Drosophila melanogaster: one gene and its partners. The protein of the gene in region 1 interacts with the protein of each later gene in a pairwise test. Each region holds a gene or a part of one and is shown in the gene's direction. Other genes may lie near its edges. The genes, in order: CG7546, Sema2b, CG8620 and CG9853.

The links.
Region 2: the proteins of CG7546 (region 1) and Sema2b interact in a two-hybrid assay, tested with the Drosophila melanogaster proteins (one large-scale study listed by BioGRID).
Region 3: the proteins of CG7546 (region 1) and CG8620 interact in a two-hybrid assay, tested with the Drosophila melanogaster proteins (one large-scale study listed by BioGRID).
Region 4: the proteins of CG7546 (region 1) and CG9853 interact in a two-hybrid assay, tested with the Drosophila melanogaster proteins (one large-scale study listed by BioGRID).

Annotation. Positions count from the first base shown.
Region 1 is NT_037436.4:7,507,653-7,517,856, forward strand, and holds CG7546 (uncharacterized protein), read left to right. Parts: upstream 1-3,333; 5' UTR 3,334-3,724; coding exon 3,725-3,790; exon of another isoform or gene 3,791-3,858; coding exon 3,859-3,976; exon of another isoform or gene 3,977-4,052; coding exon 4,053-4,264; exon of another isoform or gene 4,265-4,317; coding exon of another isoform or gene 4,318-4,320; coding exon 4,321-5,076; exon of another isoform or gene 5,077-5,133; coding exon 5,134-5,740; intron 5,741-5,870; coding exon 5,871-5,969; intron 5,970-6,165; coding exon 6,166-6,702; intron 6,703-6,996; coding exon 6,997-7,929; intron 7,930-7,988; coding exon 7,989-8,125; intron 8,126-8,173; coding exon 8,174-8,398; intron 8,399-8,463; coding exon 8,464-8,814; 3' UTR 8,815-9,664; downstream 9,665-10,204.
Region 2 is NT_033778.4:16,382,815-16,390,394, forward strand, and holds the start of Sema2b (semaphorin 2b), read left to right. Parts: upstream 1-3,709; 5' UTR 3,710-3,936; intron 3,937-7,580.
Region 3 is NT_037436.4:7,154,703-7,160,562, forward strand, and holds CG8620 (uncharacterized protein), read left to right. Parts: upstream 1-3,397; 5' UTR 3,398-3,544; coding exon 3,545-4,108; 3' UTR 4,109-4,172; downstream 4,173-5,860.
Region 4 is NT_033777.3:4,396,665-4,405,234, reverse strand, and holds CG9853 (uncharacterized protein), read left to right. Parts: upstream 1-3,207; 5' UTR 3,208-3,319; coding exon of another isoform or gene 3,320-3,634; intron 3,635-3,749; coding exon of another isoform or gene 3,750-3,881; intron 3,882-4,096; coding exon of another isoform or gene 4,097-4,657; exon of another isoform or gene 4,658-4,725; intron 4,726-5,044; 5' UTR 5,045-5,341; coding exon 5,342-5,493; intron 5,494-5,554; coding exon 5,555-5,789; intron 5,790-5,849; coding exon 5,850-6,482; 3' UTR 6,483-6,677; downstream 6,678-8,570. Other genes in the region: lost, read right to left, coding at 1-534, 596-766, 1,955-2,033; CG14647 (uncharacterized protein), read right to left, coding at 3,320-3,634, 3,750-3,881, 4,097-4,657; CG9855 (uncharacterized protein), read left to right, coding at 7,599-8,123, 8,179-8,375, 8,433-8,570.

The DNA of each region.
Region 1 (10,204 bases):
GTGGATTCGTCTTCGTTTACGTCTGCATTGTCGTCTGACTGAACTTAACGTTTTATTGAACCGACAGGAATCACATGTGAGTGCTTACATTTCAACGGTTTCCTTTGCCATTTCAACTCATGCGCCAACGCAATTTGAACTTCAATTAGCTGCATTTGGCCATGGCTAATAAACGCCGCCATTCTCGTCGCTCCTCGTGCTGATATACAATTACAAATGACGCGTCAGGGCCAGGCCGAAAGTCAATTACCAGGGAGCACGGTGGGAAATGATCTTCCCTCTAACCTATTTTGGATGAATGAAATAGTACGTAGATTTTTTTGAAATTAAAAAAAAAAATTTCAATAAGTCTGCTGCTTGAAAGTGGGAGCAATAAAAAGTACGCCATTATACTGCTCAATAAAGAAAAACCTACATTAAGCACCAAACCATATGTATAAGTAGCCATTTAAAACACTAGAGTATTTAATTCATGATACGAATTTATTTTAGCACTTAACCTAATACCAAAAAGGAAATTTTTCTCTGTGCACTCGAAAGCGAAAAGAAGGAATAGTAACATAAAAGCCCGCGCCTCGCTGGCTAATTGGAATTGAAACATAAATTAAGCGTCCAATTCGGAGGCGAAGACGGCAGAATGCAACTAAAACTTTACGACTTCTTCACTTTGGCCAATTGCGAGTTCGACTTCCGCATTCACATGCCGTTCTGCACTTTTACGTTTTGTCGTAATCCCCGCCAATTACGATACTAGCCACTAGTCACCCACTACACACACTCCTCTGTTGGCCAAGTTTTGTAGTTCTTACCGCTGGTGTTGCATCCACATTGACAGCTTAGATTAAGTGTTGACCATAAATTGGCACGGTTAGTTGGCGCTTGTATTTATGAGGCCAGTGCAGTTGCCATTTAGCAGGTCGAATTTATATACTGGCAATTACAAGTGGTTGTTCATTTGTTTAAAGATTTAATGTGTATATTTGTAATAAACATAAATTTCTTCAGTACATTGGTGATATTTAGGTACATATTTTGATAAGCACTTGTTTGAACAAATTTCTATATTATAAATTACGAGAGAAATAAAATATTAACCACAAAACTCTGTTGAATCTGAACTACTGGCACACGGGTTAAATTCCGCCATGAATGCTAAGGTTCCTTGGTGTTATATTGCCAATCAGCTGCGGAAACCACCCCACCCACTCGCACACCAAGGCCAGTCTCATTTTCCCCCACACCGCATGCTCCTTGGCCATCCGTAGTTTATGGCACAAAGGGGACTTGGCTTCAATTTTCTTTATATTACAGCTTGATTTAATTTGACGTGAGACTTGCTCTGGGGCCCTGTTCTTGACCAGACCGAAATTAGAAATGTAGCCATGCAATGCGGAAACTCGTACTTGAATACATTTCTAATTCTGATTCTGAAGTGAAGCGATTACAGGTTACATTCGGGAAAATTCAAATGTTGCTTAATGAAAATATGAACAATTGGAAAAAGCAAATGTCATTTACCAGCTGCCAAGAGCAGCGACTTATCAATCTGCCCGATTGATATAATTTCATAAGGCGACCTTTGCCCCCGCCCACAACAACAAAAAAAAAAAAACACTTTCAATGTAGTGCCACGCCCACCCACTGTGACAGGAAAAACTTTTGGTGCAAAAAAGTAATAAAAAGTAACGGAAAGCGTTAGCTTAATAACAAATGGAAAGCGGAAAACGAGAGGGCAGTGCTGGTCGAAAAAAAGGGAATGATAATGAAAATGAAAATGCATAAACAGAAATCGTTGACAAGGCGGTGGGCGGAATGTACTGGGCGCTTAGATGAAGGACGGCTGCGTGGAAAACTCATTAAAACTTTTCACAGCCCATTTAAAAGCAATTTGTAAATTGTAAAACTTGCACTTGGACCGCGCAAAGTCGGTGAAAAACGTTAATAATTATTATTTATACTTTCACGCCAAGCATAATCCATATTGTAAGCGAAATGTAGGCTGAGCATTTTAATACAATTAACTGTTTGTAATTTGTACATCAATTTTCTCAAAATGCTTAATTGGGAATCAAACATTTAAACATAGCATATATCCTGACAACAAGCTTACAAAAACATCTTTTATTATTAAAAAAAAAATCTACAAACTTTAAGCAAGGTATTTTTTTGAAAATACTGTAATTAATCATTCAATTGCTTGCTAAAAACTCAGTTAAAAAAAAAAAAAATCCTCAAAGAGAATGGTGCACTCGGCAATCTGCCACTGCCCATTTCCGTGGCATCTTTTCAGTCCGGAAAATAAGGGCTCGTCGCAATCACTTTGAGCCCGTGGAAAGGCTCACAATCGCAGACATTAAATCAAATTTCCGCACAATTCCGGCAAGGGGTATGCGAAAAATTGTGTTAGCTGCGGTTGGCTTTCCTTCGCAGCCTTCTGCTTATTTTACTTCCACTACCGATGCCACAGCGCCACTTAAATATTCAAAGCGAAAAGTTGCCCTACACCTTTGCGTCTTGGCTGACTTTCCCCTGTTTTCCGTGTTTTCTTTTCTTTATTATTCAAACGCCGCTTTTCATGTGCAGTGCCCAAAAATTCCCACAGGATGCAGTCAAAGGCGGTGGGGTGATTAAGGGTTGGTGTGGGGTTAGGGGCGAAAAGGTTGATGGGTGAATTGTATTTCACATGTGCAGTTCTTTAAACGTTTTTATAGCGCTCATCTCGCTCATGCCCCACACGCTTTACATTGTGGGCAAGAGTCTAGGCAATTCCCTGGAGATATTATACCTTTCGGTTAGGTTAGGATAGCAAAGAATGTTCAAAAACAATATAAATAAAACAGATTAATATATTTAGTACAAATTCAAAAGAACCGCCTAAGTGGTTTTTAGGGCTGCCAGACAAGAAAAAAATTCGTGCACTCTGGTTTGAGTCAATGCTAACAGTGCTGTATTCTTCTTTGTGTTTGCCACTGAAATAATAATTTGGGTATTTTAGGACATTTTGTGTACTATATGCTGAGCTGGCAACTTATCTATTTTGTAGACATATGCAGCTATTATATTTTAAACTTCAGACAAATTAATATAATATATTATATTTTAATCTTAAGACAAGTTGTTATAATATATTTTTGTTATAATATATTTTAAGCTTCAGAAAAAAGGTTATTTATCTGCATATTCCAATTTTTGTAATCGTTACCAAACTCAATAAAATAATTTTCAACTGCTCCATACAATACATATCATTTTTGACAGATCGCTTAATTTTTGCTTTAAAACGGAATTTATTTATCAATACCTGCTAGTTTAGCTTTTTACAAGATGGCATTTGGCTGCTCTTTCACTCCGAGAGTTGGCAACACTGCCACACTGTCAAATTCCAGTAATTATTCTCGTCCACTGCTGTTGTTGAATTGCAAAGTCGCTCGGCGCGTTAGCATAGAAGCCCAGCATATATTTGCCCGATCCGAAAGCAGGCGGAGATCAGTGAAAACGTATACATATTTACCGCTAGTTGAGCAGTGCGAAAACGTGTCCGGAAAAGCCAAAGGCCAACGACAGCGAGTGCGAGCGAGAGAGCAGGTGACAGCGACACCGACAAGATTCCCCGCCTTCCCCCCTCCACCAACGAACCCTTTTCGACTGTTTTTTTGCACGGCACGGGGAAAACCGAAAGAAAAACGAGATTTTCAATTGATTTGCGACGCAGTCCGGCCGGAAAATGCTCATAAACCTTAAGGTGAAGACCTTAGATGCGCGCATCCACGAATTCAGCATCGACAATGAGGTAATGTTTGAGGTTGTGTGTCCAGGTCTAGGGGCTTCTTTATATCCATGCACCCCACCCATTTCCAGCTCACCATCCGCCAGTTCAAGGACCAAATAGCCGAGAAGACTAACATTGCGGCGGAAAACCAGCGTATCATCTACCAGGGTCGCGTTCTGGTCGATGATAAGCAGGTGAAGGAATATGGTGAGTCATGCCCCCGGGAGCACCCACATATATATATGCACTTATATCTAATACAACAATATCAATGCCCATGCAGATGTGGATGGCAAGGTGCTCCATGTGGCCGAACGACCACCATTCTCGCAGCGCGGAGCCAATGCCCGCAACAATGATGAACCCATGCGAACCTTCCGCAATGTGGCACGTCCGCCGCCGCCCGGAATGCGTACTTCTCCGTACTTCCGCGCCCTCGATGGAATGCTGGTGGGCACCATGGCCATACCGGTGAACAATGGTCCAGTAGCTGGGGTAAGCCATTAAGATGAAAGCTCTTTCAACACGCGTATTTAAACGTATCTTAGCAGACACGTCCTCCACCGAATCGTTATCCCAACTCGTCGTCCTTCTGCATTAACCGCATCACGGTCGCCCTGCACATGATCGATTGCGCTGACAATATAGCAGCTTATCTGGAAAATCCTGCCGTTGGCCTGAACAATCAATCACTGGACATTCTGCAGCGCGGTCGCTGGTCGATGGAGTCCACAGTCGTGGAAGTAGGTGTCTCCTCGACTGATCTGCCACGCAACAATAACATCATCGATATGGTCCAAGATGCCGTGACCGCTGCTCTTTCGCATACAGGAGCACGCAACTATACGGTGGTTCAGCTGCCCACGGTTTATACCAATGAGAATGGCGAGACGAGCCAGCAGAGAACAGCCGAAGCTATAACAAGTGAGGGAGCAGCCAGTGGAGCTGCAAGTAATGCTAGTGGTGAAACCACAGCTGCTACTGTGATTATCGAGGATGTTATCGAAACGGACGACGAAGTGGCCGATGGAGCATCAGATCGTTCGGTCACGCCAACACCAGAGCCGGAGGCGGAAGGAGCAGTTGGTGGCCAGCAAGTCACTGCAGCAGAGACTCCCACATCCTCGGTTGGATCAGCAAATGACGCGGCTGCCGAAGGCGGCAACAACTCAGGACCCAGGCGACGCACTCGTCCTCAGGTGTTGGCCCAAGTTATTCAGCACTATCGTGGCGTACAGGCTCGCTTGGCGCCTTTTGTTGATCGGTACTATGAGATTCTCCAGAATGATCCCACTTTTGAGGAGAGTGTAAGTTAATAAGCCGAGCTCTTATAAGCCTATTAAAACATTAAATTCCTTTTTTAGGACACCGATGGTCGCGAGAACGCACAGCGCATCTTCGATCGCGTCTCGGAGGCTTTCCACTACCTTTCGCACGCCCAGCACGCTATATCCGATTTAATGCTTGACCTGTCGCAGCCAGGGCCACGTGTGCTCACCTGCCGACCCATTCTCGTTGAGCAGAGCGGTTACATACGCTCCAATAACATCTTCACGCCCAACTTTTTGGCACCGCCCTCGGGTATTATCAACGAGCCTTTCCGCAATAGAGCACCTGGTTCTGCCTCTGCAGCTGGCACTCAAACGGCCACCACAGCGGGCACTCAAACGCCCACCAGCGCGGGCACTCCAACTGCTGTGGCACCTTCGCAGGCTGCCAATTTGCAGGCGGCCACCGATGCCAGTCGCAGTGCAGCGGCCATGGCGGAGATCGCCAGTCGAGCTGCTGGAGCCGCTGCGGAAATGGCTGCCGGAGCTGCCAGTGCGGCTGCTGGAGCTGCGAATGCGGCTGCCGCCGCCGCTCGCGATTTATCCAGTGATCAAGTAGAGGATCCCATCGACGAGCCTATGGTGGGGCCAAATGCTGCAGGTGCTGAAACACTAGCACAAGAGCAACAGCGTCTCGAAATGGGTAAGAAACTTTATACAAACACTGTATGCAGATGAGGCTGTGCAAAATCAAATTCACTCATGGCCTTAGACAAGGAATTCGTGTCTCTGAATCGTAAATATTCCCGTATTATTTGTTGAAAATATTCTAGATCACGACCACGATCAAGCTCAAAGTGAAACTCCCGAACGAGAAACCCGACCAGTGCCTAGGCTGCGTGTCTATGTGCCAGTGACTTTGCCACCGCCCAGTATGTTTTGATTGTTCGGTTGAATCCAACGCCTCAGTCATGGCAGACTAACCATAATCTTAGCTGCTCACTCACTGCATCCCTACTTTGGTTTCACTTTCACTTTGCTAGTTTGATTCTTTTACTGACCCGGCCCTAAACAAATTAACCCTTGCTATACTGAACGCTTCAAAGAGCTGTTACTGCTGCTTTACAGATCCCCAATTGGAAATGGCCCGAATTATTCAGGCAATGGTCAATGGTCAACGACCGAACGATATCCATGTGGAATTCAATGCCCCCAACGTCATGTCGATTAACTTGCCCGTGCATGTGATGACGACCGTGCGACAGGCTCCGGCAGCTGGATCGAACGAAACAGCAGATCAGTCTGCGTCCGAATCCTCCTCCCCTGAAAGTGCGCCTGCGTCGGGCAATGGAGAGTCTCCAAATGCAGCTTCAACATCAAGTGGAACACGCAGTGGCGATCAGAGGGCCAATACCTTGCCCACCACGGCCACCCAAACGCGCTCGACATCAAGACCACAGATTCAGATTGGCGGAAACAACAACTGGGGCGGACGCATTGCTCCGACACACACGGCATTCGACCGCTTTCTGCCTTGCAATAGTCATCACATTCGGGAACCAGAGCAGCTGCTCCAAAACAACAGTACCAGTCGCAGCACCTCGACAGCACCAGCAGGAGGAGCCACCGTTGTTCCGCCCACATCTGCTGCAGTAACTCGTCCTGGTGAGTACGGCTCCCATCCGGGGAAATCTAGCAAACACTACCTTATGTCCACGATCCATTTCGCCAATCCACCAATCCATTTCATTTGCACACTCACCAACCGGAGATGGAAAGCCAAGTGTATCAAAAACCTGTCGGATCAGGGCGCGATAAATCTTTAAATGCTATACGATTTTAAAATTTTTACAAAATTTAATAGTTAACTATACTAAAGAACTATTTATTTGCTATCTCGACCTCCGACTGGCCTCCATCTCTGACATTAATTTCCATTTTATCCATATCATCATTTAGTCACCACTGGTCGCATCCAACGCGGCAGTAACACAATCCGCCCAATGTGGTCGTCGCGTCGCCAGCGACCAGCCAGCGAGCAACTAAGCAACCTGGGACCGGCAGCCTGGGCGCAGGCGCAGACCCAAACAACTCATATACCAAGTGCCCACGTTGGTGCTGGCAGTACCAATGGGGCCGGAGTCGGAGCCGGGAGAGTGCGGCCCGTTGGAGGATCGACCATCAATCGTGATCGGCTGGCGACTCGAACGGCCCACGTTGGCGGTGGCAGCACCAACGGAGGCTTGCCCTCTGGCCGAAGGGGGCGACTACAGGCCGCCACCAGTCGCCTGTCCAGACATTTACCCACCCAACTCGCTAATTTTTTGATTAATAATATGAGAAATAATGCGCCAACAGCTTCGGTAGGCAGTGCAGTTGCCGCCGTCGGAGATACGGCCGCCTCACCATCAGGAGAAGCTGCCCCAATTGCTTCAACCACGCCAGCTGCTCCGCTACAAACTGTTTTGCCGACATCCACACCCACTCCTCGCGGAGACTCGAACAACCTGCGTTCGCAACTGCGCACCTTCCTCAACGACAGCCTGTTTGTCGGAGTACCCATCAACGAGCAGACTATTCCGGGGGCCATTGGTCGCGCACTAGACTGGTTCGGGGAGAGCCTGGTCTACCTGCCGCAGTACGAGCGTCCGGAGTACAACTCGCGCGACTCTGTGTGCAACATCCTGCGTGTCAGCCTCCGTTTGATCATCGAGCTTTGTAATGGAGCTCCGGCCGGTGTAGATAGTGCTCAATTCGAGCAAAGTCTCAAACAGATTTGTGACCAATTCCGCAAGCGGCTATACAGCGTTCTCTTCCTGTGCCTTGGAAGCGCGAATGCGGAGCTCTATTGGCGCCAGCTAATGCGCCTCCTTTGCGCACCGATGCGATCCAGTAAGTTGACACCAAAAGTGATCGTAAGTATACTGGTTAACTCAATATTTCTTTTGCAGACTTCCGCAACGAAGCCCTGCAGTTTTTGTGCATCTACATAGACCCCACGATTCCCGCCCAAACTGACACAGTGGATGCCCAACAGTTCCTGGTCTTGCGCAGCATTCAAGCAGCTCCTCCAACAGCTGCCGACGAGGTAGGTTTCCAAACTATTTTCCATGCCCAGAAACTTATGCACTAATAGCCATTTGTGGCGCCGCCTCCTTTTGCTTTCAACCCACAACAGCAGCAGCTGCAAGAGCAAACTCTGGACACGGATGTTGAGATGTCCGAAGTGACCGCCAGCGGCAGCAACAGTTCACCGGCAGACGAGCTACCAGCTGTGATTGTGGGCTCAGAGCCTTGGCACATGAGTTTCCCCAATGATTGGTTGCCTGTGATAACGCGCGACCTACAGACCCAGGCAGAGGTAGGTTATTCCGTACAACTTTCTGGAATTACACTAAACTATGTCTCAATCTATGTATCCTGCAGCAGAGTAATCGTCCCCAGCCGCCCTTCTCGGATGCCTACATCTCGGGCATGTCCGCCAAGCGCCGCAAGATAATTCAGTCGGAAAAGCCGACTGCCAGCGTGGAGTGTCTCATTGCTAATGGAGTGCAGAGGGCTATCCAGAGCGTCGGCTTGGGTGGAAGCAATGGTGGTAGCGCCTTAAACGCGTCGATCAGTATGGATACCGTAATCGGATCCATTGCTCACGACTCCACCATTCAGGCCGCCTACACGGATGCGGTGCGCAATAGTTTAAAAGAGCGTACCGAGCGGGATGTGGATTTTAAGACCAGCAAGTATCCGCAGATTGCCAAGTTCACCGAGCAAAAGTAGGGGGCAGATACGGAGACGGAAGCCTGGCCACCTAATGCTTCTTGTACATTTTACTTTAATAAATTGTATTTAATTTAGTTAATGGTTAAGTTCTGTTTAAATCGAGAAGACGACGAAGATTGCGACAACACCAACACACGGAGTGGACCCTTAGCAAATGCTTCAAACTATTTAGAATAATAATATCCAACTGATATTTATCCACACACACACAGAGATACACACACACAATGGGTCAAGACGCAACAGAGCCCAATCAAAAACAATTTTTGCGGTGCATGAATGAGCAAAATAAACACACATATTAACCGAAACAATGGCGATTGGAATTGGATTAAATGGACTTGGATATTAGACCACACACCGAGCGGAATGCTTTCAATTGTCCCAAATGGCGGTGGCGTCCCCGCGTCGGATGACGTGCTGCAAAATCAGAACAGACCCGTAGACCCGTGACGACAGCCAAATTCCGAATTCCAGCCAAGTATTTTGGCCGGCGCCAAATCGCCATTGACGTGAGCCGATGGCACATGATTGCTGGACGGCCGATGACGACCAATCCGGAATGTGCAGATCTATTCAAGTGGATAAGCCTTCAGCAGAAGCATTACCGGAGGCATATCCACACCATCCCATCGTACCAGCAACCCGCACCATCCCATTTCATCGTCATCGAAGTCCGAAGCCTACGCTACTCTTGTTATTGTTGTCGCCTGCAATCGAAACACGAAAATGTGTCACATAAAAATGTTGAGAATATTTATGTGCAAAAAAAATAAAATAAAAACAAAAAGAAATACCAAGAAGCCGTAAAGAAAAGAAAACATATGAATAAATAATAATTATAAATATTTGCCGCTTTTCTTTAAATATTTACTCGAGATGATTGGGCGCCAAAAATAGATTGGCTACGTAATCGAGGTATATTTTCGTACCTACAGTTATTGATTACAGTGCGGTTCAGCACTGTAACACCACAATTGGCATCTGCTAAGCTCGGCAGTTGCTGTGCTAAAGAGTTTAACATTTTAGTTTATTCCAAGCTGCCAGTTTAGATCATAATTTAAATAACTATCTGCAATTCTTAGAAAATTATTCTGCGTGCGTTCTAATAAATTTATGTTAGATATATTCATAAGAATCATGACAATTTGAAAACTATAAACAGTTTATTTAAAAAAACCTTCCAGAGATATGGACATTATTTGATAGGAAAAACTGTGGAATTCGGAAAATATGTTCATAAAAGAAGAGTTTATCCCATTTATTAACAGATCTAAAACAGGAAGTAGTTCAATTACGAGAGGAATATTATTAATTGAAACATTATTGGATTGATCGAATAAAAGCCGGTCATAAGATTTAATTTTTTAAATCCCTCTAAATGAGT
Region 2 (7,580 bases), on another chromosome or scaffold:
CAAGCGTTGCAAACACCTTGGTGACATCGAACCCTCCGCACAAAGCGATTCATTGTTGCGAAATTTAATGCGAAAAATTCATTAAAATAAAAAACAGCAAACAAACTTTGAATCCACCGGGAGCCCAAATTGAATCGCCCGAAATTTGTGATGGTTTTTTTTTTCGGCTGCACAGTGAAGCCCTTCAAAGGTGCTAAGTACATACAAGGAGAGGCCAAAAAAAAGGTAGGGTGTTAACCCTTATGACAAGTTGGGGCTCAAGGGGATTGTGCACTCAAAAAAAAAAACTAATTTACAAAATTAATATTTTAAATAAAAGTAGTAGAGAAAATGTTGTTAATAACTATTAGAGGCAATGATGCTGAGCAATGCTTGAGTATTCATTAGTTACTAGATTCGATGAAAAGTATTTACCAGGTAGAAGGATGAGTTTCCGGCCATGTAAAGTATGTATCTTCTTGATCAATTTCAATATTCCAGTCGAACTGTCCAGGAGAATTCGACCACAGCGTTCTCTCTTGTTATATATATTCACTTGGTGTTTTGCAGAAGTGCGACCACGCCCACGCGCAAAAAACAATATGAATTTTCCCACAAAAAGAAAAAGAAGGAAATGAAACCCAGACGGAAAATCAAGGGAGCCCGAGTTATTCCAAACGGCGGACCAGGAACAATCAGCTAGACTTAACTAATAAATTCCCGTGAATTCCGCACGCAGTGGAGTCGAAGCGGAAATCATTTAAGCTGCCAAATCAGCCGGCCAGATGGTCCAAACAAAAGGCCAGGGAGCCTGTAGAGAAAAGTGCCCCCAAACGGAATGGGAGCTGCAAAAAGAAAGCGATTAATATTCATTCAGTGTCGCGCGTATATCACTTTTTATTTGCACAGGGTCGTAGTTTTCTGGGCGAAAGGTAACCCTGCAGCGGTGGGCGTGGTAGGGGAAGGAATGCCAGAGCAGGCGCCGCCAAGTATGCATGGGAATTCGGCGCACGCAGCGGCAGGTGAGCTCGTGTGGCTGCTCCACTTGTTGTTGTGTTAATGCGAATGAGCATGAGTGTGTGTGCCAACGCACAATTACATACAACAATTTGTGCTTTGTTTGGCCGCGTGTGTGTGTGCATGTGCGTGTGTGCGTTGGCAGGGAATCCAAATCACCAAAGAGCAATCGTGGAGCAGCAACATGGCCAGCGGAATCAAGATGGAGGTGGATACTGTAAATGCACTCGAAGAAATCACAAGGAATTCAAGGCAAAATGTACAAAAATTACTTCGCACCTAGGAACTCGGATATCAATATGATATATTTCAGTAATAATGAACTACTCAACACTCTTTTTTTTCGCAAACAACACTAATACTTATTTTTCCAGTGCCCAGCGAATCCGAGTTGGCCTGCGGAAATCCAGTTGGCTTTGTGCCGCTGACACCTCCCACCGGAGGCCCCCTTCCCCTCTCCCCGTGGCCCCACTCAAATTGGAAGCCCAAATATGAAGTCGAAAAGTGTGTGTTGTATGTGTTTAAAAGGGTTTGGCTAGGGATGGATGATACTATTGAGGGGCGGCTCTATCGTTCCTCCGGCGCTTAGTTTTCAATGTGAAAATTGAGAAAAATTGCCAAACGAGTTGGTAAGCGATATTCTCGCCTGCTCCGCCTGCCGTTTGGTCCGATGCCAGGTGATGCAGTTGGGCCATTGTTAGCCCAAAACCCACCTTGGCCCAAACCGACTCCATCTTTGCCAGCCGTAGTTGTCTGCCTCTCCACTCACTTATTGTTAGTTTCGCTCGCTTTGTTTTGACAACTTCTGGAGGAATGCTCTGTGAACTGAACGCTTCGTCAAATAAAAACGAGAATTTTTGGCTTCAGTTTACTTCCGTTTGCTTTGACTGCCTGCTATGCCATCACTTGGCCACCCTGGCAATTGGAGACCCAAGAAGCTGCTGGCAGCCATAAAATTACGATCCAGCAGAGAGCAAATGACGCGAAACAGTCGCACGGACATGGCCAAGAGCCTCTGAGCCAAAAGGGGCTGGGGCAGCAACAACACGTTCCTTGCATAAAAATCGTGCAGGCCATGCTAAAAACGTTTATCCCTTTTAGCCCCAAGTTCGGCTCTGGAGGAGTCCTGCCAGCTCCCGCAGAACAATGGCGGCGAAACACTGAGAAAAATAAATACAAATCCTTATTCTTATTAGACCGTAAAGGAAAGTTGAATTACAAAATCAAAGTAAGTTATTGTAGGATATTTGTTGTTTCAAAAGAACTTGCTTACAAGGTATAGATATATTTTGTTATGTTTTGCAGTGCCTCGGATTTTTTCCTGTGCACTGAAAGAACAATTTCTTCGTCTTTAGTTTCAATGGCCCCCACGACGGACCGAAAACCATTTTAAATGGAACGTAAGCCGAGACTGATGGCCAGCAGTGGAATACGAGGAGTTGAAGCAGGAGTGGGAGTGGCGGGCAGATAAATGCCGCATCATTGGTTATTTATATGCGTGCGGATCTCAGGTGGATGGCCCTGGACTCAAACGATATATTTATTTGATTTTATTGATATACAAGCGGGCGTAAGTAGTGCATATCCATCTCGGCCAACGAGTGGCTTAAGTCCTGGCCTGGCCTGGCCTGTCCCTGTCATTACGACGGAACGATACGGAACGGAGACCAGTTTCAGGTGAATGTCGGCATGGGAAATTAATTAAATCGCATTCAAATGATTGGCTACGTGCCATTATTAATTCGAGCATAAATTATTCCACATGCCCTAATTCCAAATGATTTTACTATCCCCTTCGTCGCCGCCACCTCCGCACAATCTGTGGTCAATCACTTGATTGGCCGCTCAACGAATGGATCTGAAAGTTTAATGCAACACGTATTGGCACTTCCAATTTATGGCAATTAAGTGAAAGTTCTATAATCGCCAAAGAAGGTGTTGGAGAAAGGACTCTTGCAGCTGACCACATCAATTACTAACCTGGGCTAATTGAGATTGTGCGGCAGTTGTCATTTTTCCTTGTGGATTTGCAATTTGGATTTTGACTCGAAATTGTCCGTGTACATGAAATGCGTTTTAAGCACAACGTTCGTAATATATATATATTTCAAATAAAAACTGCTAAGAAAAAATTAAACTTTTAAATTCAATGTTTTAGTTCCAATTCCTAAAATTTGATTTAAATCAATACTTGAAGTATTAGGGTAGATAAAGAAGTTCTTAACACTTTACAAACATAGAAACAATAGTAAATTAAATAAAGTCTAAAACATCAGATAACATTATTTTGAAATAAATTAAAATTTAACATTATAAAATACACAAAAAGAGAACATAAAGAAAATTTGTATACGATTTTCATTAGATTTTTGTACATAAAGTACATAAAAATATATATTATTACAAATGAATTCATCTTGAAACCAAAAATTTTTCAGGGACAATGTTAACATTTTTTAGACTGTTCCCACAGTGCAAGTCTGTAGGCTCAACAGCAAAACAAACTGTTAAAAATGCCGGTAGGTGCTGAGAAGTGTTCCCAGTAACAGTTGACACGGCATTGCCAGCTCGAAACTCGTTTTCGACGAACTTCAGCGACTGCCAAACGAATGAGAGCGAAGCCGAATTCCCCCAAAAAGCCGAAGTTACGAAGATACGAGTGTGTGTGGTGCGAAAACTTCGGCGGCGGCGAAGCAACAACGACGGATTGTTCAGTTTGTCTTGAAATCGCGACTCGAACGGTCATCGTGTGCGGATGTTAAGCGGGAAAGTGGGAAATCGGAAAAGCGCAGTCAGAAACCGAAACCCAGCTAAAGAAAACTCGTGCAACTCGCTAGCAGTGCCCACGCAACAAACAAGAATAATAAATGCGAAATATATATGAAAAACACAGGTTTCAGTTTCAGTGACAAGTGTGCAACATAACTCAGCAGCAGTGAGGTGAATATACAAATCTCGATCCCCAAACGACTGTGCAACGCTCTCCAATCCCCGAATCCAATCAGAATCCCACCTGAGCTGAGCGCTACCTGCCAAGCGTGTTTCACTTTGCATTACCCGCGCTGACCAGTTGATCCCAACTTGTTTGCAACCCGTTCTCTTTCGTGCCTCTGACTGCAGAAAAGAGTGCGGATGGCGGAGTGCGGAGTGCAGCGTGAGGAAGACAAAGGAGTTATTTTTGGCCATCAGTTTGCCATTTGCATTTGTGCAGCCAGCCAAGTTGGCCCATTCAGCACATAAATTGCGAATGCAAACGGCCAAATTGTTATTGCCACTTAGAACAGCTCTAAGCGCAATTCTCTCGCCTTTTTTTTTCGTTCCGAGCAAAGTGTGCAATATCTTGGCCGTAACAGTAGCCACCTGGTCGCAACTTGCAGCAAGCGATTTGCGATTTGCGACTCGCGGCTAACAAAAAAAAAAGAAAAAATTGAGAAAAAACGCCACCAAGACACAAAAGCTGGTTGAAAAAAGTGCTGGCGATTGCATCGCATGTCGAGGTTGTTTCGCATGCCCTTGCCCCTCCGCCCCCTCCGTGACCCACCATGCCCCGTTTGCCACGCCTCTGCATACCCCCCTTCGGTTGCCCAAGAGCCATGCAACAATGCGAACAGAAAGAACTTCAAAAGCACTCCGACCCTCCGTCTGTTTTTTGGTGATTATGAGCGCAGAACTGCAGCATAGGGTCAAGAAAAAGTGCAGCCAAGTCGCCAGTTGGATGCTCTAACTTTTTAAAACCAAAATATCTGGAAATACTACAAAAAAATCGTTATGTTCAGCTTTTCAAAAGTATATTTCATTCTATTTGGTTGTCACTGTTGTTCTTTATGTTTTTATATATTTAATATATTTTAATATGATAGGTAAAGTTGTATTTATATACAGACAATTTACTAAGTATTCGGCACGGGGTCATTAAAAAACTTACAGACTTATTTTCATAATATTTTAGTGTCTCAATTAAACATTCAGCACTCTTTTTTTTATTTATTTTGTAATTGCATATAAAGTGGCGCTTTTTTAAAGAGTGTGATACGATCCAAATTTTTTTAATTCCTCGCTTAAAACAGGGGCATTAATTATTTCACAAAGGGATGAAAAACGCGATGGAATTTCTGCCGCAGTCAGTTAGGGTATTAAATGCAGGGGGCAAAAAAAGCGTTTCAGCTCGTTTCGCGGCGTACAATGGAACCTGAGAAGATTGGCCAGAGCCGAAAAAAGTGGCCAAAGAACCTGGCCAAAAAGAAGAAAGTGGCTCGTTGGCCAAAGAAGTGAGCGGGGCAGGCGGCAGGCTCAAAGCATTTAAGCGCCTTTGACACTCAGCTGGTGGCACAAAAGGGGGGCATGGTCTTCTGGATTAGGGGATTGGGGGTCATGTGAGACAGCTGCCAATCAATGGCAGACTAGGCCCATCACTTTGTGGCCATTTTGCCTCGTGTGGCATGTTGCATGTGTGTTACAATCGAAAAATAAACGTATAAATAAAACAAGAGCGACGAGAAAATCGAAAAAGGAAAATAGAAGAGGAAAACCGTTTTCAGAAATCGCTTCGAACTTCCCATTTTGGGCCAGGCAATGAGGAAATTATGCGCTAATGGCAGCCAAAGTTCAATTTCATAAATAGTTAACTTCAAAGTTGGTTACATTCTCCGAGGAAAAGTCAGTAAATTACACACACCCGTGTGTACACACACTCAATTGCCGCATAGAGAGAGACATTTTCAGCTTATTAAATGGAATTAAGCAATTTCTGCGTTATTACCATGAATATTTGAAATCGGGGGCAAATACCAAAGCCAGGGGATTAGTTATTTCCGACTTTACTTGCGCACTTTTATTCTTATTGATTCTTAGGCGGCAAATTAATGTTTTCATTGCGTTTTCCGTGCTCAGCCGCCTGTCCAACGGAAGTGTCGTGTGGCCCAATCAAACAAATACTCATACTCCGTAAAAAAAACGTGGCCGAGAAAAAGGAGCCACACAAAGCAACCAAATTACGCCTAATGGTTTTTTAATTGTAACAATAATTGCCGTCGCCATTGCATGAACAGCAGCAGCAGCAGCAGCAATCAGAGCCCTTAAGAAGGGTGAAAATGGCCGAAGGGGTAGGCATCTGACCCTCCTATTAATGAAAGCTCTTGGAAATCATTTAGATGCCTGCAAATTGCCAGGCTCTCATACAGTATGGAAAAATGTTTTCATGTAAAGAAAATGGGTATTTATGCGATATAAATTGGCAGAATAATCAGAAATATGCATAGAAGTTATTTATAATTCTTTCACGTTCTTAAACTAACATCTTATCATGATTTCTGATAGATTGAAACATATAAAATAGTTAAATGTCTTACTGATTTCTATTTCAAGACTGTTTTTAGGCACATTTCTTTAAATACTGAAAAAACAATAATCAACCGTCTTCAATGCCCTAAAATTACTGATATTGCTTAAATACCATAAACTTAAAAGATACATAGATACTTGTGATTTTCGAATCTAAAGAGTTTTGCCACAGACTGAGACTTTGTAAAGCCCTGACATTTTAAGTAATCAATTATAGGTATTTACGCATCCTACAGAAAGTGCATTATTTCATATTTATCAATTGAAATTAAAGATTTTTTTCTTTCTGTGCATTACAACGAATTGGAGGCTCATGTTTCTGCTGCGCCCGACTGTTGCTGCTGTGCAGAAGGCAGCATAATTGTTCGCTTCATGTTTGCGACTGAGTGTGCTCGTGTGCGTGTCTATAATTAAGGCCAAAAAGGCGAAATGGTAAAAAAAAGTGCTGGCCTAAGCTATGCCGACGACTAAACAAAAGCCAGCAATGAGACGCTGAACCTTGAACTTGCTGCCGTTGATGTGGATGGTGCTGCTGAACTCGGCTGCTATTTGGGTTTGTTTGATTCTATTCATTGTTCACTCGCCGGCAGTTGATTATGAGTGTATTTTTTTGTTTTTTGTTTCGTGTTTCTATTTGCTATTTGCTGGCTGTTTTTGCGAGCTGGCTTGTTGCTCTTTTGCTCTTTGGTCGTTTTTGGTTAGCCAACATAGCCTGAAATGGCCAAGCGTAGCATACTTTTGTGCGCCGAGGGTCTCTAATGTGCGCCATTTTGGTTTTATGCGGGGTCGGTGCCAGTGTGTGTGTGTGTGAGTGTGCGAGTGCGAGTGTGAGTGTGCGTGTTGGCCCATTTGCCCAGAGGTCATTATAGACGCTTCCTTGGTCCGCTCGGCACGTTGTGGCCGCCAACTTCCGCTCTTGTTGCTCTTGATGTTGCTGTTGGGGCATCTGCAAGTGTTGCTGATGTTGCTGTTACTGTTGGTGTTGCCACTTTGAGCCTTTTGGCTTTTGGCCGGGTCCAGCTCTCTAAAGTGGCAATTTGTCTAGTTCTGTAAGCGCCTCTTTTAACGATAATGATGATTGCGCATTGTTGCGTTTTTATTTCAGTGCACAACCTGTTCACACGCACACACACACACAGACAAATCCACTTGGAGTTATGCCTTTTTTTCTGTGCTTGTGTGTGTGTGTGTCTGTTTGCTTAGCATTTTCCGATTTTCATTCATAGCCGCACCGTTTCCCGTTT
Region 3 (5,860 bases), 350 kb from region 1:
ATTGATGCTTAATTAGCGATTTCCTCAGCTCACTCTCCATTACGACATCCCCCACTTCAAGTCGCCAAGTTGTCGCATTATGGAGTAACGGCTAACATGTCCGCTGCTCCATCAACCGGGGCGCTTATGAATATGGTAAACGCCATTTAAGCAGGCCGGAAAAATGGTAGCATATACCAATTATTAATTCAAGGAAATGGGAATCGATTGAGCACATTGATACTATTTACTTGACAAATGTATATACTTTTCTAAGTAAACTTAAAACGCAATTGCTTGCCTAAATCCATGCAAACATTAAGTATTACCAAACTTTTTAAGCAAAAAGTTTGGTTTTTGCTACATTTCCCTTTGTATCTTTAATGCAAAAACGTCATGCTGACCTCCATTTTGCAGCATAACTTTTTGCAGTGTGTCAAGTTGTGACTGTTTGACTGACTGAGTGACGGACTGACATTAAATTGCACTCTTCCTGATTGCTTCGTCGCTTCAAAATCGATTATCGCCGAAGTCATGCAACTGAAATTATATTCACCGCTTGCCACATCCATATATGTATGTACATATGTACATACGTATATACGCTTTTACATACAAAGTTAACGCTGCATAATGAAGCGGACTACGTGGCTAGGATACAAAATCCGGAAGCCCCTCAGTCCGGCGGTCCTGACCTTTTTAATTTCAGCTAAAAACCAAAGCCGCACGACGCCAACACACCTCTGACCCACCACAACCACCCTCTCGCCCACACGACGATGTGGCTTCAACATAAGACGCAGCTCATATTCGATAACCACTTTCTACCCGCCAATGAGTTACAGTGGAGATTGGGTAAGCTTAACTTTTATCCTGATACAAAAAACAAAATATTTGCTTAAATTTGGCTTGTTACATAAGCAAAACTTTCATTTTCTTCGTAAAGAAAATTAATTGTACTTAAATGCTATGGAAAAACTATAAAATTTTACACGTAAGAGCCATTTGCCTTTCCCCCATATCCCACATCCATTATAAAAAAATATAAAAAGGACATTAAGATTTGTTAATCGATTTCAATTTAAAACTGACATTAACAAACAAAAAAACGATGTATCAGTTGGTATTAGTAAACTTTCTAAGACCAAGTGAAGGCAATTTCTAATCAGTTTGTGCTCAAAGCGATATTCTCTGCAATTTAACTTAGAACTCGCAGAATGTTCTACTTAGTGGCGTTCCACTGTAGCTACTCACCCACGGAGCTGGAGTTGAAGGAGGAAAACTGTGCCAGCGGTTGAGGAGGTTGAGGCTGCTGCTGGAGTTTCGTTCGTTGATTCGCTCGTTTGCTGTTTTGTTTGTTTGTTTGTCGGATTGTTGCTGTCTTTGTCGCTCAGTTGTTGTTCCTTTGGTGGGCGACGATGGAAATGTCAGAGGGTCGCGGTATTGGTATTACGGCCTCCCAGGGCATTCTCTTTTCGCTTGAGTTTTGATTTTTTTTTTTGCTTTGCCTGATAATTCTATTATTGCTCTCGCTCTCTTGGGGGGGAGTGCAAAATAATGGATGGCAATTCGCGGACGGAAATTTGCGAATTTAGCGCGTCGCTTCAATTTTGTGCAAATTGAATGCACAAACACTGAGAAGTGGAGAGAAATTACTAACTTCGGCGTTCTCCCTGTCTCCCACACACACACATACACGTGCACGCGCGAAATTTCGTGACAGCTGCAGCTGGAGAAGAAGAAGAGCATGAATGATCGCTCAAGGACTCGGTATCGTCCTGCCGTTTCCTCTCTCTCTTTCTCTCTCTGGTTCACTTCCTTTTGTTGTTCCGTTTACCTAACACAACGGCTTATTTGTATTGTCAGGACCAACTCACACACACGCACATACACGTACACTAGCGCACTGCAGCTGAGCCCAAAGGAAAAATCGATGATGAATCTGCGAATTAAAAGTCTATAGCCGCACATCGATTAATCTGCAGCTGAAGCGAGTCGCTTTAATTTAGTTTTTCAGCCTTGTTTTTGCTGCTTACGAGGAAAAAGACAGCAAGGCTTCGTTGAAAAACCCGTTCGGCGCGCAGGAAAGTCGGAAAAACGAAAATCGTATAGCGGCTTGGTAACAAAACGCGCCCACTCGCGGAAAACAACAAGTTTAAATATTAATTAAATCGATTTATATTTACTAAATCATAATATACATCGCTATTACTTCATGTAGGCGAGCAGAAGCACACTCCACGTCGAATTTATTGTTCGTTTGCTTAAAAAATCAGTTTCAATTGCCGCAACTCCGTTGGCATTAAAGTTATAACGATGTTTCTTTAATAATATTTTTTAATGGTAACCGAAAAAACAGCGCGCGCTGCTGCGCTCTCCCGAAAAATTACAGAGAGAATGCGTTGCGAGCTGCTTATATAGATTTTTAAAATATCAGAGAAACCAAATGATGGTAATGTAAAAATACCAAAGCCGGGAAATCGCGTTTTAACAGTCTGTTAACAGTCTGGCGTATCACACTGTTAATTCTCTTCAGCGGTTAAATGTATCTATTGGATGCGCCAAATATATCTTATCCATATTAACAGCTATTTTGATTAAGAAAACTTAGACTCGTTTAGTTTTATTTAAAATTTTTTAATAGTTTTGAATTATTATACCTTTTGTCGATTTTTAAATATAAGTAAACGTAAGGAATGATTTTAACCGCTTGTGGTTAAGACTGCATATTTTGGCGGGCACAATTCAAAAGCAATCATGAAAATACCACAATAAAAATACTAGTCTCAAGCGGTAATGTCTTATACGTAGTCTTATACCTTAAAATTAAATAGCAGTTCTGTAAAATATTTAACCGTTTAGTATTTCTAAAATAATGTGCTAAACCTGATTTATGCAATTATTAAGATCCCAAAACATTTTCAAAAAATTGTGTAAATTTCTTAATACTTTATATTCTTAAAATTTTCGATGATTTAAAACGATAAAATAATTGTTTTAAAATTACACACTTGGACGAAATTCAAAATTAAAATTATATCAAAATAATGTCATATTTCACAAAATCGTAAAAAATAATAAAAGGTATGCTTATAAAAATACGCAGAATATTTATAATGCATATAATATGCAGAAATACAAAAGTAAGAAGAATTTCGCAAAAATATGAAATATGTTTGAGGTTACGTTCGGCAATGAAATTATGTAACATTAAAAACACGTGATCAATGGAAGTAATTTCCCAAAAACCCATGAATGCGATTTGGTTAAAAATAGCTCAGATGACGTCACATTTATCGTGTGGTTTGTATGAGTATGTGACTGATAAAGAAAGGCAAATGTTTACAGTCCGAAAGTCGCGATTAGCTTGGCGCCAAAGTTGCCTATAAAAGCTCATCGACCGAATGCCGCAGAAGCCAGTCAAATTCAAGTGTTCAAGTGAAGCAGTCGAAACATAAGCAACAGATTCCGCAGCAGTTATATCCAGTTCAGAGAAACAGTAGTTAATCAGTAATTAAAGTGTTGAGTGAATTTCTTATCGGGTCAGTTGTAAACTAGTGCAAAAATGTCGCAATCCGATAACGTGGCACGTGAGCAAACTGCGGCAAATGCAGGGCCGGATGCATGTCAAGGATGCCGCGGCCAATTGCCAAATGCCACGCCCGTGGAAGTCGAGGACATGGCCTTGCCGTCGATGGAGCGTCTCATTCGAAAGGCCAACATGGCCCAGAAAATGCTGAACGATGTGATGAAACAGATCCAGAAGCAGCAGCAGCAGGAATCTCAACTCTCCATCAAGGAGACCAAGTCCAAGCACCGCAGCTCCGATGGAGGTAAACGACGACACAGAGGACGCAAACATCATAGTCATAGTCATCACACTAGCTCATCTTCCAGTTCCAGTTCCGACCACAGTGACTGCGAGCTGATCCTGGCGGAGAAGGAGGGGCACATGCCGCGGAGAAGACACACGCGAGATGACCGCAAGCGGGATCGTTCCCGGTCTCGCGGTCGCTCCCGTGGTCACTCGCGTGGTCGTTCTCATGGGCGTTCTCGTTCCAGGTCCTACACCGATTCCCGACGATCTCGAGCACTACCCCTGGCTCTGCCCGTTCGGATTTCAGTGTGAGTATCTGGCTTCATTCAGTATTATTCAATATTCATTTTATATATTAAGTGCGCATAAAAAAACCAAAAAAAAAAAAATAATAAAATATATAAAATATGAAAAAAATATTCAAATGAATTCTTTTTAATGGAGGGTGGGCTTATCTTTATTTTGGGTGCAAATAATACATACTGTTCAGGTATTCAAGATAATAAGTTACATTCGTTGATGAAATGCTGATTTAATTTAGCATTCATATTTACCAAAGTTGTGAAATATTTGAACCATTTTTCTGAGAAAATAAAGTTCAAAGTTTTGGAACTGTAAAAAGAAGTTTTTATCTTACCTCCATCAGCCGATTAACAAATAAACAATCGTTTGTTATTTTTAAATATTTCTTATATTTTTTAAATGCCGTTTGTTTTTACATTAATAGTTTTTATTTTGTAGTTGTTGTGCTAATTATATGTTAAACATAAAAATTGTTTCTCCCTCTCGTATAATTACTCGGTTTGTTCTCGTTTTGATTGTGATCTATTAAGTTAATTTCATCTTTTGATTTGTAGACTTTGCTGTGAGTTTGCTCCTTGCAGTCGCAACTTTTCTGTTGTTCTTAATAAATTCGTAAAATTCGATGTTAAATGTAATAAACCATTTCATTGCTTCGTACAAATAAATGCATATAAAAACCGACTAAAATCGCGTTAATCGCTATATAAACAAAGAGTGCTGCTGGCTCGTAAATTTTCGATTTTGTTTTTTGCTTTTATTTCAAATGAGACACTAAAGAATTATGCTGTCTGGCTCGGGTTGGAATAAATTTTACCCAAGTGAACACCTTAATCTGCGACTTTATTTTGTGATTTCTGTGGCTCTAATTGGTATGTTCATATTTAGTGGCTGCTATTTACTCGCTTTTCATGGCTTGCATTATTTATTGTATATCCGTAATTTAAGAGAGCTTTGTCTAAAAACAAATTTTGGCACATGGTTTCCGAAATGGGTTCAATTCGTCCCTCTGATCCTCCTTCTAATCCTCATCGATTTTATTTGACTGTTTAATTGGTTTCCTTATGCTTTTTTAGGCTAGTTAAAATACAGCTATGTACTCGTATTACTTTTGGATTATTCGATACGAACTAAGAGTTATATTAATTTGTAGTTTGTTTGTCTGCTCCTAACTTGGCTTTCGTTCCATTCGCGTCTGCTTGATTGAGTTTTTATGATAATTCGAAATTTAATTACGACTGGTATTTGATTCTCCTACAGGCTCATTCAATTTACTTTCATTAATTCGTTTTTAAAAACATTTATCTACAACTCGACGAATGACAGTTTATTGTAATGGAAACACTAATGTATGCGATATCATGTCAGATTATCTATGAATACTGCTTTCTTGAATTCAAATTCAGCTGGCGACATATTCGAGTTTGTGTACATCGGCTATATCGAATACATTTAGTTAACATTTTCATTGTGGCTTTACTTGTCTTTTGTTTTTTTTTTTTTTTCTATGTGAGTCATGCAACATTGTCAGTCCTTTGAGGGTTTTACTTTTTTGATTATTTACAGCATTTGCTCAATACTCTACATGTACGTGGATTCGCTAACAACTAAATGAGTATTCTTCGATTGTATATCTCGGTATATATCCTATATACATAGATGAGCACACGACTGCCTCATAACGTAGACACGCACACGGGGACATACATCAATATACATTCATATAAATTTGTACACAGCATATATGTATATCTGAGTTTTCGG
Region 4 (8,570 bases), on another chromosome or scaffold:
GCAATATTTTTAGACGGCGCTCGGACAGCAGCTCCCAGTAAACGCCATTGGGGAAAGACAAGCGCTTTGGCACCCTGATTATTTCTGTGGGTGTTGCAATGATATCAACTGGCGTATCGTACTTCTGGAATAGATTCGGGGGCAGTGAGTCCACCACCTGCATGTCGTGCACGATTGTGACAATAATTGTCTTCGGTGTAATGGCTCCCAGTTCAATAAGGAGGCCGATGTCCAGATCAGCGAAACCATTTCCGCGTCCAATGCGGTAACCCTCGCGTGACACTACAACAGAGCCAATAACCACGATGTCCAGCTTCAGACCGCTGTCCAATCCAATTTCCGAGCGAAACTTTTGAATATCTTGAACGCGCAGAGCCTCCTTTTTCTGCTCCTCGGTGGCATCGGCCAGCACATCTACCTTTAGGCACAGTGCAGAAGATTCGCGGGTGCTGGGCAAGTATACGGACTTGTCGGCCAGCAATGCCAGTTCCTTAAACTCATGCAAGACGCGATCGATGTTCACCTTGATGTGCTCTGCAATACGGGAAAGAGTGATAATTGGTGCACTGAAAACGGGGCTGTGGTACTCCCTTACGTGCTTTCTTGAACTCCTCTTCATTGGCAAACAAGGCAGCAGCCTTATCGGCACCCACGAACGAAGGAATTCGGTTAAATATGTTGTTGAATCCAATGCCAACCTTGCCCTCTTGGATCTTTTTCCAGGTCTGCACGCGCAGCGAGCGCTTTGTGGGCTCTATGGGCTGAGCTGTAACGACATGTTTGTTACAATAATATGCTCCAATAACATAAACAGATGACTAAAAGAAACATATTTTAGTTTATTGCAGCGGTGAGCTCATTTGTATTTGTGTTAGTGATAGCTAGCCTTCATTAAATCAAGCCACATTCCATTCCAGAGCTGATCTGTAGGTATGATAACGTGCGGACCCAAGCGATTCCCCAACTTCTCGGACATGTTAGTTTTTGTTAGGGGAGGTTGACTGTAAAAGTGCGAATCAAATGTGCTGAATAGCAACACAGCCGCTGCCCTTATCGTCTGTAATGAACGCGTGTTATCACGCTAGTTGGCGCTGGACTAAAAGTGATACCGCGGCTGATATACCGGTTTCCACGCCCAGTAATCAGATGTGAAAGTGACCCAAACATACACCAGCAAACGCCGGCCCGTATCATTGAAAACAAAAATCTGCATGCAAAATCGGGACGGCAGGGTTGCCACCTGTGCTGGTTAAAGAACACACGTCAACATGCATGTGTGTGCGCTTGTTGAATTGAAACTGAAGTATGAATTGGCCGCTAAAACTATTTCGGCCGTCTTTCTTGGCGGGTTCAATGAGAAATACAAATTAAGAACCCATATCCCGATATTAACGCATGACCAATAAGTTGGCAACGCTTCGACACGCACACACTCGCACGCACACATTTCTGGGCGATGAGCGCATCGACTCGCGAATTTCTCAATTAATATGTATTCGTATGAGCAGTGCCGCGAGCGTGTAGTGGTGTCGGGCAGCGCGGGGCGCAAGCGAGCGGGTGAATTGACACTGCGAGCACAGAATCTCGAAATCGAAATCGGCCAAGAGCACCGAAAATGATTCATTTCACTTTTTGTAATTGTGGGAAGAATGCGCGCAAAGATGACGTAATTAGTGTCAACAACAAGCAACTTCGGCGTTTCGGCAACTCTTATTTACAGCTAGGGTCTCCTAGAAATAAATATGGCGGAATTCGACAATCTTCCGCTTCTACACTGGCACCTAGAAAATGGCTGAATCGGGCACCTGCCCCTCTGGAACATGGGTATTCACTTTGGATGCCCAGCGAGCAAGGCGCGGCGCGGCGCAAAACATTTATGGAATCACCAGCACTCGCGAGAATTACACGCAATTTTCGTCGGCGAGCGGGCGGGGTAGTAGGGCAGGCCACTTACTTGTCGAAGACACCTCCTGCGCGGTGTTTCCGCCGTTCTCCGCGGCGACAGCGGGGGCTGCGTTGCTTTGGTCCTCCATCGAATCGCTCGCCAATTGTGTTTTAGTTCTGCTCACAATTTTTTACCGGCTCAGGCTACGGCTACACAGTTCACAGTTCACAAGCAACGTCTACCGTTCTCCGCTGGCTTCCAACAAACCACGTTTGAAAATTGACGTTTCTCTGGTGACGTAAAAAAACATCGCCGATGCGATACATCGATACATTTCGTATAGAGTTGCTTGCGATGGTTCTAGCTAAAAATATAATAAAAGTTATACATCTGAGCTTATACACGCCACCGACAATATACATTAGATCTACATGCAAGTCCATCATCTTTTTTCGCTTCAATTGTTATATATTATTTTAATAAACATCGAGTACCACCCAGATAGTTCGGTAAAATTGTAAGCTGTGATCACTGCGAATAAGGTATTAAAAACTAAAAATAGATAAATTTTATATTATTTTCTTTATTTATGTTTCTTGTAGATAAAGGAATCGAAGGATAAACTATAATTAACACAGGCTCCTGCCCCGGCTTAGGATTTTCTAAATGTAACTCTTCTGCAAGGTCCCTAAGGAATGTTTTATATAAAAATATAAAAGAATCTTTAGTGATGCGACTAAGACTATGTAATAAACAAAAAAAACAAGATGGAATGCTATAGTCGAAATCCCCGACTATCAGATACCCGTTACTCAGCTAGTGTGAATGCGAACGCGAAATTTCATTAAAAAAAACAAGAGGGAACGCTATAGTCAAGTTCCCCGACTATCAGATACCCGTTACTCAGCCAGTGGGAATGCGTTTTTAGGGCGTTAGAATGGGTGTGGTAAAAAGTTTCTTGGCAAATCGATAGAAAATTTCAAGACTAATTAAATTATGAAACAATATCAACACATTTTTTAAAAGTGTGGGCGTCACAGTTTTGTGCGGTTTGTGGGCATTAGAATGGGCATGGCAGCATGGGTCAACAAACGTGAGCCGCGTCTCTAAAATCTGTATGCTTAATCCCAACCTCTAGATTTTATAGTTCCTGAGATCACGACGTTTATACGGACAGACGGATAGACTCGGCTATTGATCCGGATTATATATAATATATATCCCTTATATAGTCGGAAACGCTGCTATCTGCCTGTTACATACTTTTCTAGTACGAATCTAGTATACTTTTTTACTCTACGAGTAAGGAATAAGAATAATACACACGACTTTAGAAATTCAATCCTAATACTGTTTATTTTATAACCTACTATTAAACTTTTAAGTATGTACAGTCAATAACAGTAATATTAGTGATAGGTGCCAACCAAGATATCATCGTATGGCCTGTGACATGTGCAATGGGGTCACCATTAGGGTAAGCTCCGCGTCCTTTAAATTTGCCCCACGCAAATTTGCCTCCTGCAAGTCGCTGCCAGAAAGATTGCATTTTTCCAAGTCGGCACCTGCTAACACCGCAGCTCGCAAATTACAGTTCTTCATATTGGCGTTCTTCAAATTTGCCACACGTAAGTTAACACCGGCCATGTTGCTGCTTTCCAAACATGCTCCTTTGAGGTTAACACCCTCTAGATTAGTTCGAACTCCTGTTGGGTCTTCAAAATTACACCCACGCAAGTTTGCACCTTCCTGAAAGATTAGGCAGATTAGTTTTCTTAGCTAATTGGATGGCGTAAATCTGTTACAACTAGTTTCACAAATGATGTGATTATTTAATAGCGTTTTCTGTTAAACCTGTGCTTACCATATTGGCGCAAAGTCCCCGCACTGACACTAGTTGGGCACATTCCAAGTTTGCGTACTGAAGATCCGCCCGTTCAAGACAGCAGTAGTTAAGATTGGTGTGGGACAAATTGCAGTGAGACATGTTGGCATACTGTGAAGGAAAAGGGATAGTCTTTAGTATAATTATTGTCTTCAACTTGATAGATCTCCACCAATAATTTTCCATTTTTTTCCGGACGAAAATATCTCCTTTACTGCGTAGCAAACTACAATAATATTAAAATGCAGTCGTGTTACGGCGTTGGAAAGACTTAAAATGTTGTATTACACAATGTATGCATTGAAATGAAATTCGTTTGCGCACACCTTGAAGTTAATGTTGCGAAAATCTAGCTTTCGTAGATCGGCCCCAGACAGATTAACGCCTTGAAAGCGCAGCTCCGTTATCACGGAGGTCTGAATGATGGCCTTGATGACGTCGTTGCGCGTCAATGGTCTGTCCCCCAGCGGCGTCTCCTGCTGTCCCAGGCGTTCCTCCAAATGGGTGACAAGCGAAAAGATTCCGAAGAACCGCGCCTCCTCCAAAACACCCAACACACTGATGTTCGAATCGCATACGAATTGTCCGTGGCGGAGGTAGTTGATGATCGGCTCGAAATATCGAGGACTTCGATCAATCAGGTATGCTCCCTGCTCGTCACGCTCGCTGGGCTTCATGCTGCCATTTTGCAGGAACATCCTAGCAAGCATTGAATCCGGTTCTCTGCCCACCAGAGTGTCGATGGTAGTGGCGTAGATTTGTCCACCCACGTTCAGTTTGACCCAACGATTGGGAGCGAATCCGCTAGCGGCGACGAAATCGCCGGCTGCCGGTGCGGCGTCGTCTTTTCTGGCTCCGGAACCACTCTCCTTCAGATCACTATTCATTTGATTGGGAAGTTTAAAAAATTTCCACAATGCCTGGCAATTCTCAGCTGCTTTATCTTCCCGTTCTTCCCCCGTCATTCCATTAAAGTCGTCGATTAGGGCTGTTCACACGAGGCCGCAACAGCAGCAGCGTTACATTTAATAGTTGTGTGAATTATGAGATATTGGTGAATTTAGCTAATAATTTAAATTAATAATTTAACGAAGAGAAGAAATAGCTCAAATAAACAATTATCAGAAAACTGGATATGTCTTATCTTATTACTGTCCATTAGCTACAAAACATATTATTATTTGAAATTTAATATTCATATAACGATGATTTAATATTCATATAAGATGGTATAAAATAACAAGCGAATTGAATTATGAAGAACCAATTTTCAGATGTGAAAATAAAAATATTTGTGGACATTGGACATTGCAAGCAGAAAACTATTAAAACCATAAAAGGTGTTTTACGAATGCATTTTAAATTACCAATTGATTGGTTAGAAGTGTAAACCCTCAATTTTTGTTTTGACATTGGGCGCCTGTGCAAAGAGTGTTATAGTTGGCAATCGACACCGATAGTTTGTCATCGGGAAGCTGGTATATGTAAATACAAAATAAATTATAAAAATTGGCTTCCACATAATTGAGAAGGTCGCTGAAAGCGTACGAATAAACCCCGCAAATAACCAAATGTCTGCCGCCGAGACAGGTCCAATAGCCAGCGGCAGTGCGGTGTCCACTGGACAGCGCGGTGTCAGCCGAGTACTTGCCAAGTTGTCCCAGTCTCTGGCAGGAGGAGAATTCTATGAAGCGCACATGATGTATAGGACGCTGTATTTTCGGTAGACTATTTGTATAATCCGTGCAAGGAAATGCAATCCAATAAGAAATTCGATTCCTTAGGTATACGGCGCAGAAACGCTATCAGGACTGCCTGGAACTGCTCTTTGATGGAGCACAGCAGCTTATTGCCAAGGAACAGGAAAGCAGCGCCGCGGACCTATGTCTCCTTCTGGTGGACACGTTAGAGAAGCGAGGACCACAGGCGGAAGATACCGACAACTTCCTGTGGGTTCCACGCCTAGGGGCTTTGATCCGCGGCCTTAACTCCGCGACTGTAGAGCGCGAAACCCTTATTGTGAGTCTTTGACATTATTAAACGCGACTTATACCGGCAATGAAATTTTTTTTCCTTTAGCAACGGACCATTAAGTGGAGCACGGCCTTGCATGGCCAGTATGGCCACCCAGTGCTCCATAAGTTAATTGCGCACGTGTTTTGGACCGAGGGCAACATTGAGTCGGCTCGTCACCACTATCTACTCTGCCAGGATGGCAGCCTATGTGGGCGAGTGCTAATTGAAATCAGCCAGAGCAGGGGCTTCCAGGGCGAGATGGACTTGTTTCTGGTACAAGCTGTGCTGCAGCAGCTATCCCTTAAGGATCGGAAAACTGCAGAGGACACGTTCACTGAGTACACACGCTACCACGCCAAGCTGCTTAAGCATGAGTTCCCCTATAAGGAACCGCTGGTCAACTTCTTGTACTTCCTATTCCGTCTTATTGACGCGAAGCGTGTGGCTGGGTTTCGGGCCTTACGCAAGCTTTACGATCCATCCCTAAAGCGCGACACGTCTTTTCTAAAGTACGTAGCCAAGATTGGGGTGCTGTATTTCGACGAGCATCCGGAGGCTGCTCATTCTGGCCCGCCCGGGTTGGGCGGAATGTTTGGTGACATATTCAATCGCCTTATGGCGGGCTTTGAGGAAGATGATGCGGACGATCATGACACGACCCTGAGGCGGCAAAACGAGAATAACGAACTGGAATAGCATGTATGCATTAATGAAGCATACCGAAGAGGGATCCTTTGTTGCTGGTCTTTTTGGTTGCTCAAAGTCAATGAAGTTCTTTGCCACAAAATCATCGGGCTATTTTGTTATAACTTTAAATTGCTGTATGCTAAATAATTTTAAATAAGCGTATGGTCTTGATTATGCAAATTATAAAAAAATAGTTATTCAAACAAAAATCACTATGACAAGTTCTCAAAAATCTTGTTTTGGGAATATCTTTTGAACTGGTAATTGGATTTTTGTGCTTTTGTAGTGCTTGCCTCCTACGCACAATATCCGGGTGCGCTTCGTCACAACGTGAAAATACATCGCGATACATCCCATAGTCGACATTTCGAGGATGCAATTAAAATGGGAAAAAATTGTAAAGAAAAATTAATTAATTGAAATATTTGAAAAGTTTTATAATTTTATAACATTTGTATTTCCAAAAATAAATAACCAGCATCGAAAGTCGACATTGAATATGCGGGATCAACCCGGCTTGTAACATAAAAGCAGAATCCCTTATTTAGGTGTAGTATAATTTGTTCTCATTTCCCTCCGTTTTTGTGTTATTCTGTATTGGCGGAAGAATTCAGAAAAGTTGTTTTTCCAAATTTAAATTATGTATATTTTAAGTCAGTAGTGGACTAGGTAGTAGAATTCGAATACGTGTGAATATTTCGTAAGTAGGTCAATCGTTTTTAAAAATTATACAATGTATCTAACTTGTCCTTCTGGAATCGACGGCTTAAAAATAATACGACGAAATCCCAAAAAAATATTTATGTTGCGATATAAGTGTGACCAGCACAAGGGTAAGTTAGCGTCGACCTGGAAAATACAATCTGAGATCTGGTCCGTCCGAAAAATCATTGAAAGTGCCCTGGTAGAATAAATCAGATTGGGTTTATTTAGTTAGTTTTATTTTCGTTGAACCACCCAAAATAAGAGTAAAGTTGAGAAACGCTCAGAATTAAAGCCACAACCTTTAACCGAAAAGGCCAATCACCGCACAACAAAGCCGAGTGAGAGCAAAGTAAGCAGGACCTTAAGGTTGGGCCTCTGTGCATCGATAAACATAGGACATTGTGTTATACTTTCAGCGAAATGGCCGACAAAGCTGCAGCGCCCTCTGTGGACTGTGCGGCGCCATCTGTGGACTGTGCGACGCCTGCAATACCAGCCGTGGAGGATCACACCACGCTGACCGTTCCACCTGCTTCAGCGAACAAAGCCACGGACGCTTCCACTTCCACTGCCGTCCAAGTGGCCGTCGATGGGGGGGAGCCGGAACGCTGCTGCTGGATCTGCTTCGCCACCGATGAGGACAACCGTCTGGCGGCGTGGGTGAAGCCCTGTCAGTGCCGCGGCACCACCAAGTGGGTGCACCAGAGCTGCCTCTACCGCTGGATCGATGAAAAAACCCAGAAGGGTAACGCTCTACGCACTGTATCGTGTCCGCAGTGCCAAACGGAGTACATCATAGTGTTCCCGCAGATGGGCAAGCTTGGAGGTGCTTTAGAGGCAATAGATAACCTCATCAAGCGCCTGAGCCCCTTCCTGGCGGCTGGTTTCTTCGTGGGCTCCCTCTACTGGACAGCAGTAACTTACGGAGCAGTCACATTTTTACAGGTACAACCTATCATTTTTAATCAGTTGTCATGCTAAGAGAATTAATTGTCTGTAGATTGTCGGACATGAGCACGGCATGTCCATAATGGAGTCTGGAGATCCGCTCGTTCTCCTTATTGGGTTGCCGGCTATTCCAGTGGGGCTTGTGCTTGGTCGATTGATTCGCTGGGAGGATGCATTGTTGCGTCTTATTCGAAACCGCGGGACGGTGGTGCGGAAGTTTCCTTTTGTAAGCCTTATTTATCCGAACCTGTAAGTGCATCAACAATGTCAGGGTTAGCAGACTTTTATTACTTTACATTTAAGCAGCAGCCAGGAAGAGGAACAGCAAAGCATCAGCAATCCGGCCACACCGGCTCTCTCTGACCCTGTCTCAGCCACGAGGGTCTTCTGCGGCGCTCTCTTGCTGCCCACCATATCGTCGATCGTGGGACGTATTCTCTTTGA